Linked DNA regions of Drosophila melanogaster. The protein of the gene in region 2 purifies or fractionates together with the protein of the main gene of each other region. This does not show direct contact. Each region holds a gene or a part of one and is shown on either strand. Other genes may lie near its edges.

Region 1 (4,085 bases), on a different chromosome or scaffold from region 2:
AATTGAGAAGAAAAAATACACATACCAGGAAACACAAATGCAAATTCTTAGCCATTTCGAAGGAGCGTGCATTTAGAACATTGCATCGACTAATATTTACACTTGCATATATTGAAAGCATTTGAATAAATTCTAAATATTACTATAGATCACTAACACAAAAAAAAAATGCATACAATGTTGATGCAAATCAATAAAAAACGAGAAGCCAAGCAAACGCGTTTGAATCAATGTTTGCAGCTTAAGCTAAGTTAGCACACACAATATTATATTAATTATAACGAAACGATATAGGTATGCAGTATAATGCATATATTTATAATGCACCGCCTCCCCTTTCTCCCCGCGCAAACACACAAGAAAATTGCGATGGAGAGGGGGCGAAAACTAAATTGTAATCGATTTACCTATCTTATACTAGGCTATACAAACCGAACCCATTAAACATAACCAAAATCCAAAAGGTTAAACACGAAAACGTAAGGAAAACGCATAAATATGAAAAATGTAACGGAAATCTTTACAAGAAGCGAAATAGGTGTCTTCTATATAATAAATAAACGCCAACAGAAAATCACTTTTAAATTGATTTTGCTTTTTTGGGAGGAATGGAATTTGCACTTAAGATAAAGTGGTACGTATTACATAAATAAAAATAAGTTCATGTGCTATGTACAGAGCTCGTACAAATAGTTTGTACATTTTGCCAAAATTGACAAAGATAAGGTTTGTATATGTGAGCAATGAAAACGAGCTTGGTTCACATTTCCCATAATACTTCTTTATTGAAACGCCCACACATTCCGACCGCCAGTTGCCCGGATCGGAAGTGCGACTGCATGTGTATACATAGGTGCAGCCTTCCGATCCGATTGGTATACATAGATCCGCCGTGGAGGCGATAAGAAGGCCCACAACATCAATAGCTAGCAAAGGGCCAATTTTGGACCGCCGTGCCAACACATAAGTGAAGAGAAGATTATGTTAAGCACATGGGTTTAGATCGTAATCTGTATTGGTAGTAATTAACATTTAGATATCCAAAGCGTAGACATATACAGACAGGTAGACATTGGGTTAGCGGACTATCGTAACTGGCAACTGGCCATCCTATTCATACAGTATATAATATAATATATATATATAGTATATAAAATTAACTAATTCATTTATAAAAAGCAATCATCAAAGCCCAAGTCGCACCGCTCCCTTGGAGTTTGTTTGGTTGTAGTTTGTTGGTGTTATCGTGTTATCCATTATCCTTTGTGTTGTCTTTGATTTGCATTTTCTGGTGTTTCCTGTTGTGGTTGTTGCTTGAGAGGATTAGCGTGTGGTGGGGGGTGATGAGAGGTGCAGCTGTCGTCTAGGTGAAGCTGCAGCAGGAGTTAGTCTTTTTCGCCGTCTTGTAGAACGCCTTGCTCTGCAGCGACAATTTCTCCGACTTGCTGACCATGTCGTCCAGCTTCTCGCCCCGCTCCAGCACCGCCTCGATGGTATTCTTCAGTATGATCTTCGTTTCGTCCAGGTCGTTTTGCATTTTCGTCAGCGGATCTGCTTCGACGGGATTTTGATAGCGTGCTAGAAACGCTGGCAGCAAGTCAAATGAGATAGTGGCCTCCGTGCCATTGGGCCACTGATCGGCCGACACCTTGGCCGTAAAGTCATCCAGAATCTTTGTGATAAGCGTGTGCGCCACGCGATGCGGATACTCATGATCGGCGATCAGTACACCGGCCAGATTGTCCGCCCGCACATAGACATGACACATGTAGGCATCCTGTTTCACCGATTGCCGCAGGGCCGGCTGTGTGCGCTCCACAATCGTCTTCGAAGCGAAACTGCAAGAGGAGGAGTTGTTTAGGGGGGTGTTCGTCATTGATGACTCTTTGAGCCTGCGCCGTTCTTTGGCATCCACATGCATACTCACGTCATGAACTCGTTGACGGTGCCACGTTGGAAAAAGGAGAAGGACTGCAGGTCCGAGGCGGTCTTCAGGAGACGCGCCTCGCTGGCGCCCTTGTGAAAGATGCTCAACGCGAATAGTTTGACCATTTTGAGTGGCTGTGGGCTGCCAAGACTGGGTCTGCGGGTCGCGGGTTGCTCGACTGTTGCTCCTCCAATTAAATGCTTCTGGGGCACTGAGCTGAACGGTTGTCCTGGCTAATCCTACTATGCTCCGGCGGATGGGTTTCACTTTCAGCGCACTGGCATTCGTGGAAAAGTGCGACAAGTGAGTTTGTTTAACGCAGTAAATCTGTGCCGTTCCCCTCTGTGTGTGCGTGTGTGTGTGCGCGGGTGCACATATGCGTAGTGTGTGTCAGCTTATTAGGGATGGTACGTCTGGTATTCGGATGCCATCCGATTATTATCGATTCCAATGGTTACAATTAATAAGCGCAACTTTCTGTAAATGTTTTAATTGTGGTTTTTATCAAACTAAGTTGTTAGCAATACTTTCTGTTACTAACTGAATCTACGGCCATTTGTGGTGTACCATCACTACAAACATCGATAACTACTAATCGGCGGTAACGGCAATGTAACGGTTTTCTTAAGCACTGCAATCTGACTGGTCGCGATTTCTTAAATAATTTCAATGGCAAGGCGTATTAAGTTCCAGCGGTTGGCAGAGATGCGTCCCACAATGACCCGTTTCTCCACCGTTGCCCTGATTGTCTCCAAATCCTCGCCGAACATCTTCTATGACAAGATGAGTGGCACCGAACGAGGGGTTCTCAGCTTGACCATCCGAGATTCCCCCAATCACCTGACCAATTGCAAGTGCTGGGGCCAGCGGGACTGTGTGGATGAGTACGCGGCCATGCTGCAGATCGGCCATGTGGTAGACATTGTGGGCGCTAAAGTGATGTCCATACCGTTTGCTGCTCCGGGAGAACAGCGTTATCAGCCCCAAGCGACGGTCTCCTGCGCCCTGGTGGTCAACGAGGGATCCGGCTATGTGGTGCGCCACGACAATGACGACTTTGGCCAAATAACAATTCTCCAGCAGTTACTCCATCAGCCCATAAGGCCACTTGGTGCGGTCCTTAAGCTGGCGGATGTGCGTTCCGGCTTGGGATTTCCCGATAAGATAATCACCACCAATGTGAATCTACTGGTAGTAGTGGCTGCAGTGCGTCCAGTGCGTCAGATAAAGCGAAAGCTGCAGGGGCCACTAAGTGAGGTCCAGGAGCTGCTACAGTGCTTGGAAGTAATCGTGATCGATGCCAGCTATCCGGAAGGTATGCTGCTCTCCGTTTGGCAACCCGACTGGATACAACGTGCCCAGCAATGGCAGCCACGTCGCACTGTCCTTCATTTGATCGACGTGCGTGTTTCCTACTCGAACTTTCATCGTTCTCTCGTCCTCTCCCATTCCAATTGCACACTTATTTGCGAAAATCCTCAGGCGGCTGGAGATGATTGCCGTCTCTTGCTAGCTTTCGCCGCCACTGTGCCTCTAACAACTTTTAGTGGCTGTGACCAGGCAGAGCTGGACAACATGCCTGCAGGTGAGTAAAGGATAATTAATGCAGTATTATTATTTACTATAACTCTTTCAGTTGCCAGCATTCAGGCGCAGATGACGGTAAGACAGATATATTCACGCGCCGAGGGCGAACTGCAGGATCCGTCCATACATCAGTTTACTGCAGTGCTGTATGGGATGGTCACCAAGTTCGACTTGGATGGATTGACCTCCCACGTCAACAGGAAGTGGTGGGTGTTGTACATCCCCATCCCTTCCTAACCGCCGAAACGCTTCCCACTATCCGTTACATAGTTTACAAGACATATTCTTAAAAGCCCTTTTATTTTACAGCATTGCCTGTCAACAACATATACCACGGAACCTGCAAGATTGCGCCTCGGACGCCTGCCAGCAGTATTTTTCATTGGACAATGATGAACCACGATCCATTAGCTACTTCAATATCAACATTCATTTGTCCGACCAGACCGGCACTCTCGTCGAAGCCCGGTTAGCTGGACATCCGGCAGAACGTATCCTGGGACTTCGGGCTGAAGACTTCGAGCGACTGGCGGAGCGCGAGAAAAGCGAGCTAAAGTGGCGCTTTCTGCTG
Region 2 (3,682 bases):
CCAGGTTAGAATCGGCATTTTTATAGCTCGTGGTCAGTGTGATTCCTTGAAAGGGGACTCATGCCGAGTGTAGTGCCCCTCATAAACGGGAATAGAGTATTTATCACCGCATTGTATTCAGAAATCACTGATAACTGCAAAGCGTCGACTGACCAATTGCGCTGCCTGATAACGCTAATTGATATTGGATGGACTCTAAATAAATCAACTACACTAACAGCGGGCCATGCAATTTGATTTCGCTTATTGCCGGCCACACTTCATCATGATTGTTCGTTGCGAAATGACACTGCGATTGGAGCGAGTGTCCAGTGGATAAGTTTATTGATGGGACGGCTAATTATACACATGGTCTCAACTGTATCTTATCTGCTGCAGATACAAGCACGGCGAAGAGTCCAAAATAATCTAAAGTCCAATAAGCCGATTGATAACTCAAAATAAAATTAGGGCTTAATGTTAAGCTGGGCTTCCTGATCAAATTGAACACGAATTTCTTAAGTGAGAGCTCCAATTATTTGAAAAGAATTTAAAACACATGCTTTAAAGATTTTTTCGTGAATGTATTTGTCAATTTTAATTTTGAAAACATTTTTTTGTCAAACGTTGCATATTATTAAGCGAATATAATTTTAATTAGAACTCGATGTTCAAAACTATTAGTATAATTTTAGGGATATGTAAAAAATATGTATAAAATGCATAAAAAGTAGTGTAAAAGATTGAGTAACAATAAATTTAAAGGTAAAAAATATGTTTCGTATAAAAGTTGTGGAAAGGCATTATAAATTCACCTGATGCGTTTTCTGAGTTAGCACTTTTTATATTTTTGTATATTTTTAACAGTGTACCTACATTTATGAAACTTTTTCACCTAAGGAACAATAATAAAACTACTACAACATTTATAAACCACATTTTGTAAAAGCTCTTTAGTTTGCGGCATTGTCGACTGCATTTTTGGTCATTTGACGATTTCCTTTTGGTAATGGCACATCTTTAGATAAAAGTGCGTACTCCACGTCCATGTGTCTTATGAATGGAGATGCCAGCATCTTGGTGGCCAGCTCAGGATCCTCGTCGTCAAAAGCTTTGAGTAGGTTTTGTAATGTGTTCACCTCCTGGGGATCACAACGGTTTCCCCATTTCTTGAAGGTCTTCTTGGCATCCACGTAATCCTCTAGTGTTAATTGTACCAGTATTAAAGCAACTACTAAACGGCCAACTTGTCCGTAAGACTTTGTCTGCAGATTTAGGCTTATTTCCTTTTTGAGGGCTTTCGTGGCTTCTTCATATTTTTTGAGTCTGACCAATATCCGGGAAACCTTCGATGCAAATTCCGATGCCTGATGAGTGGAGTCCCCAATCAAGACGACTGCCAGGGCGCGTTTGTAAAATCCCAAAGCCAAGTCAGGATGCTTGGATTCCGTCATTTTGGCGGCTTTATCGAGAGCAGCAGCTGCTGCTTCCGGCGAACCATGTTGCTGGTAGAGACAGCAAGCCCTATTGGCATAGTCCTCCACTTCGGACAGTTTGTCCGTTTCTTTGGCAAGCAGGATAATCTGCTCGTAGGATTTGGCTGCATGGAACCATGACTTGTTGTTTTCGTAACAGTCGATGGCCTTCAAAAGACAATCCTTGCGCTTATCGAAACTTTTGGCAATTCGATATGCGGTTGCTGCCTTGAAATACATACCAGCTTTGGCATACTCATTCGCGGCACTATCCGTCTGTCCTATCAAGGCCTCCGCCTCTTCTATCTTTTTGGCATCAAGAGTGCTCATAGTGCTAAGTTACAACCTTTGCGTGTTGAAAAAATCAATTCAAGTGACTTATATTCAAATAAGTGTGCCCAAGTGCGCAAGTGCCGAGAAAAACACAAAAGGCCGCTCCTTTTCTATGCGGGTATGACACTGGTATTATGGTAATATTAAGTGCTTTACTAAAGTTGCATAAAATATATATTTGTATTTAATTAAATAAATGCATACCATATAATATGCGAGCTTGGGGGGTGAAAAGTAAGCTATATTTACATTTCATGTAAGCTGGATTTTGAATATATTTAAAAAATTGTATCGATTTGGTTTCAAATCGAACTTTTATCGCATCCATAGAACTCCTAGTTCGATTAAGTTTGTAGCCCTGTCTGGATAAAAAAAAAACATCGATAAAAAGACACGTGCTTTGCCTTAAAAGATCTTAAAGTGAGGAGGTAGCAAGGCGCTTTGATTTAACTTACTTTGATATTGTAACTTAATGCAATTAAATATTAACATAGGCTTTACCAATCGTGTGCGAAATCTTGAAAAGAAACCCGTCGCTCGGTTTTATATCGAATTCTTAACGGAAGAAGGTAAGATCCTTTATATGCAGATAGCTTTTTTTGACTTATTATCCTAACATCTTTATAGTTAATCCCATATTACTGCAAGATGAAAGCCTGGAGAGATCTGGGTATTACCTATATCCAGTATTCCAACATCGCAGCCCGTGTGGTGCGAGAGGCCCTGCGCATTGAGCTCCGTGCAGACGCCGCCAAGCGAAACATCAGCCATGTGAAGTTCACTCCGTGGGTGAACGGAAAGCCTGTGCCGCGCAAGAAGGTAGAACGTGAATCCGAATCTTAGGCGCCCATTTCGGTGATTTGTACACCATGTTTCATCCAGAATAACAGCTGCCATGATTCTACAATAACATTTCAAATAAATCTAATTCACTGAAAAAATGATGTATATTAGATTTTTTGTTGGGTCAAAACTTCATAGCTCATTCTTCTAAAGTACAACACAGTTCTGTATTTAAATATCATATAAATAATAATATACACAACATTTAGCATACATTCTACACACGCGTATCAAATACATAGATTGTGACTGCTTAATTTAGACTAAGACACTAAATAGGAGAATCTAAGAATGAGAAAACAGTCAGTTCTGGAGCACGAGCCACGGTAGCAGGATGATGCACAAGGACCAGGATAAGCCCATCGATCCACTCTTCAAGTTGGTATAACTGTCCACGATGTGAATCTTCCAGCCCATATTGCCATGGGTAAAGGAGTTGTAGTACACAGTATCCGGCCATGTGATATTCGGTGTAATTTCCAATAGAGCCGGTTCCCCTTCTACACACTCGGTGATGAGGGATCGATTGAACTTCTTGAAAGTGGGGAAGTTATCATCCAGTCGACGATCACTATTTTGAGGATATCTGGACAGGCACAGGGGACCAGCAGCCGTGGGCTTGGGCCTGCCTCTCCGGGTGAATTCAACACCGGCTAATACACGAATCTCACTCTGCTTTGCATCAGACAGTCGGTCATACCCACCCTGGGGATCATCGGTGATAACCAACGGATGATAGTGCTCCGGCGAGTGAGGATTATTGCCACCCCTAACCTTAAAGGTGTAGGTCAGACCACGCTTTAGGTAAAGCTCTGGAATCATGTAGCCGTTGATGTACCAGGCCAAGCCACTGGACACATGATTCGTCAATCCCTGATAGCCACGAAGTCCTCCAGAGGGTCCCAAGTAGGCGTTGAATGTGCGTACCGTTCTGCAAAACAAGGAACTATATTAAATTTTCATTGCAGGAAGATTGGAGTCTTACGCATCTGTTATCCTGGTTCGCTCCCACACTGGAGGATTAGTCGTCTCCGCTCGTTTTGTAAATGCAA

What was found.
Region 1: the proteins of gammaSnap2 (region 2) and Ykt6 purify together in Drosophila melanogaster (affinity purification with mass spectrometry, with the first as the bait; one large-scale study listed by BioGRID). This does not show direct contact.

The regions. Positions count from the first base shown.
Region 1 is NC_004354.4:7,918,643-7,922,727, reverse strand, and holds Ykt6 (YKT6 v-SNARE), read right to left. Parts: upstream 2,320-4,085; 5' UTR 2,053-2,319; coding exon 1,928-2,052; intron 1,839-1,927; coding exon 1,364-1,838; 3' UTR 762-1,363; downstream 1-761. Other genes in the region: hdm (hold'em), read left to right, coding at 2,597-3,512, 3,564-3,720, 3,824-4,085.
Region 2 is NT_033777.3:10,119,591-10,123,272, forward strand, and holds gammaSnap2 (gamma soluble NSF attachment protein 2), read right to left. Parts: upstream 1,811-3,682; 5' UTR 1,785-1,810; coding exon 933-1,784; 3' UTR 809-932; downstream 1-808. Other genes in the region: ATPsynepsilonL (ATP synthase, epsilon subunit-like), read left to right, coding at 2,436-2,630; knk (knickkopf), read right to left, coding at 2,934-3,561, 3,616-3,682.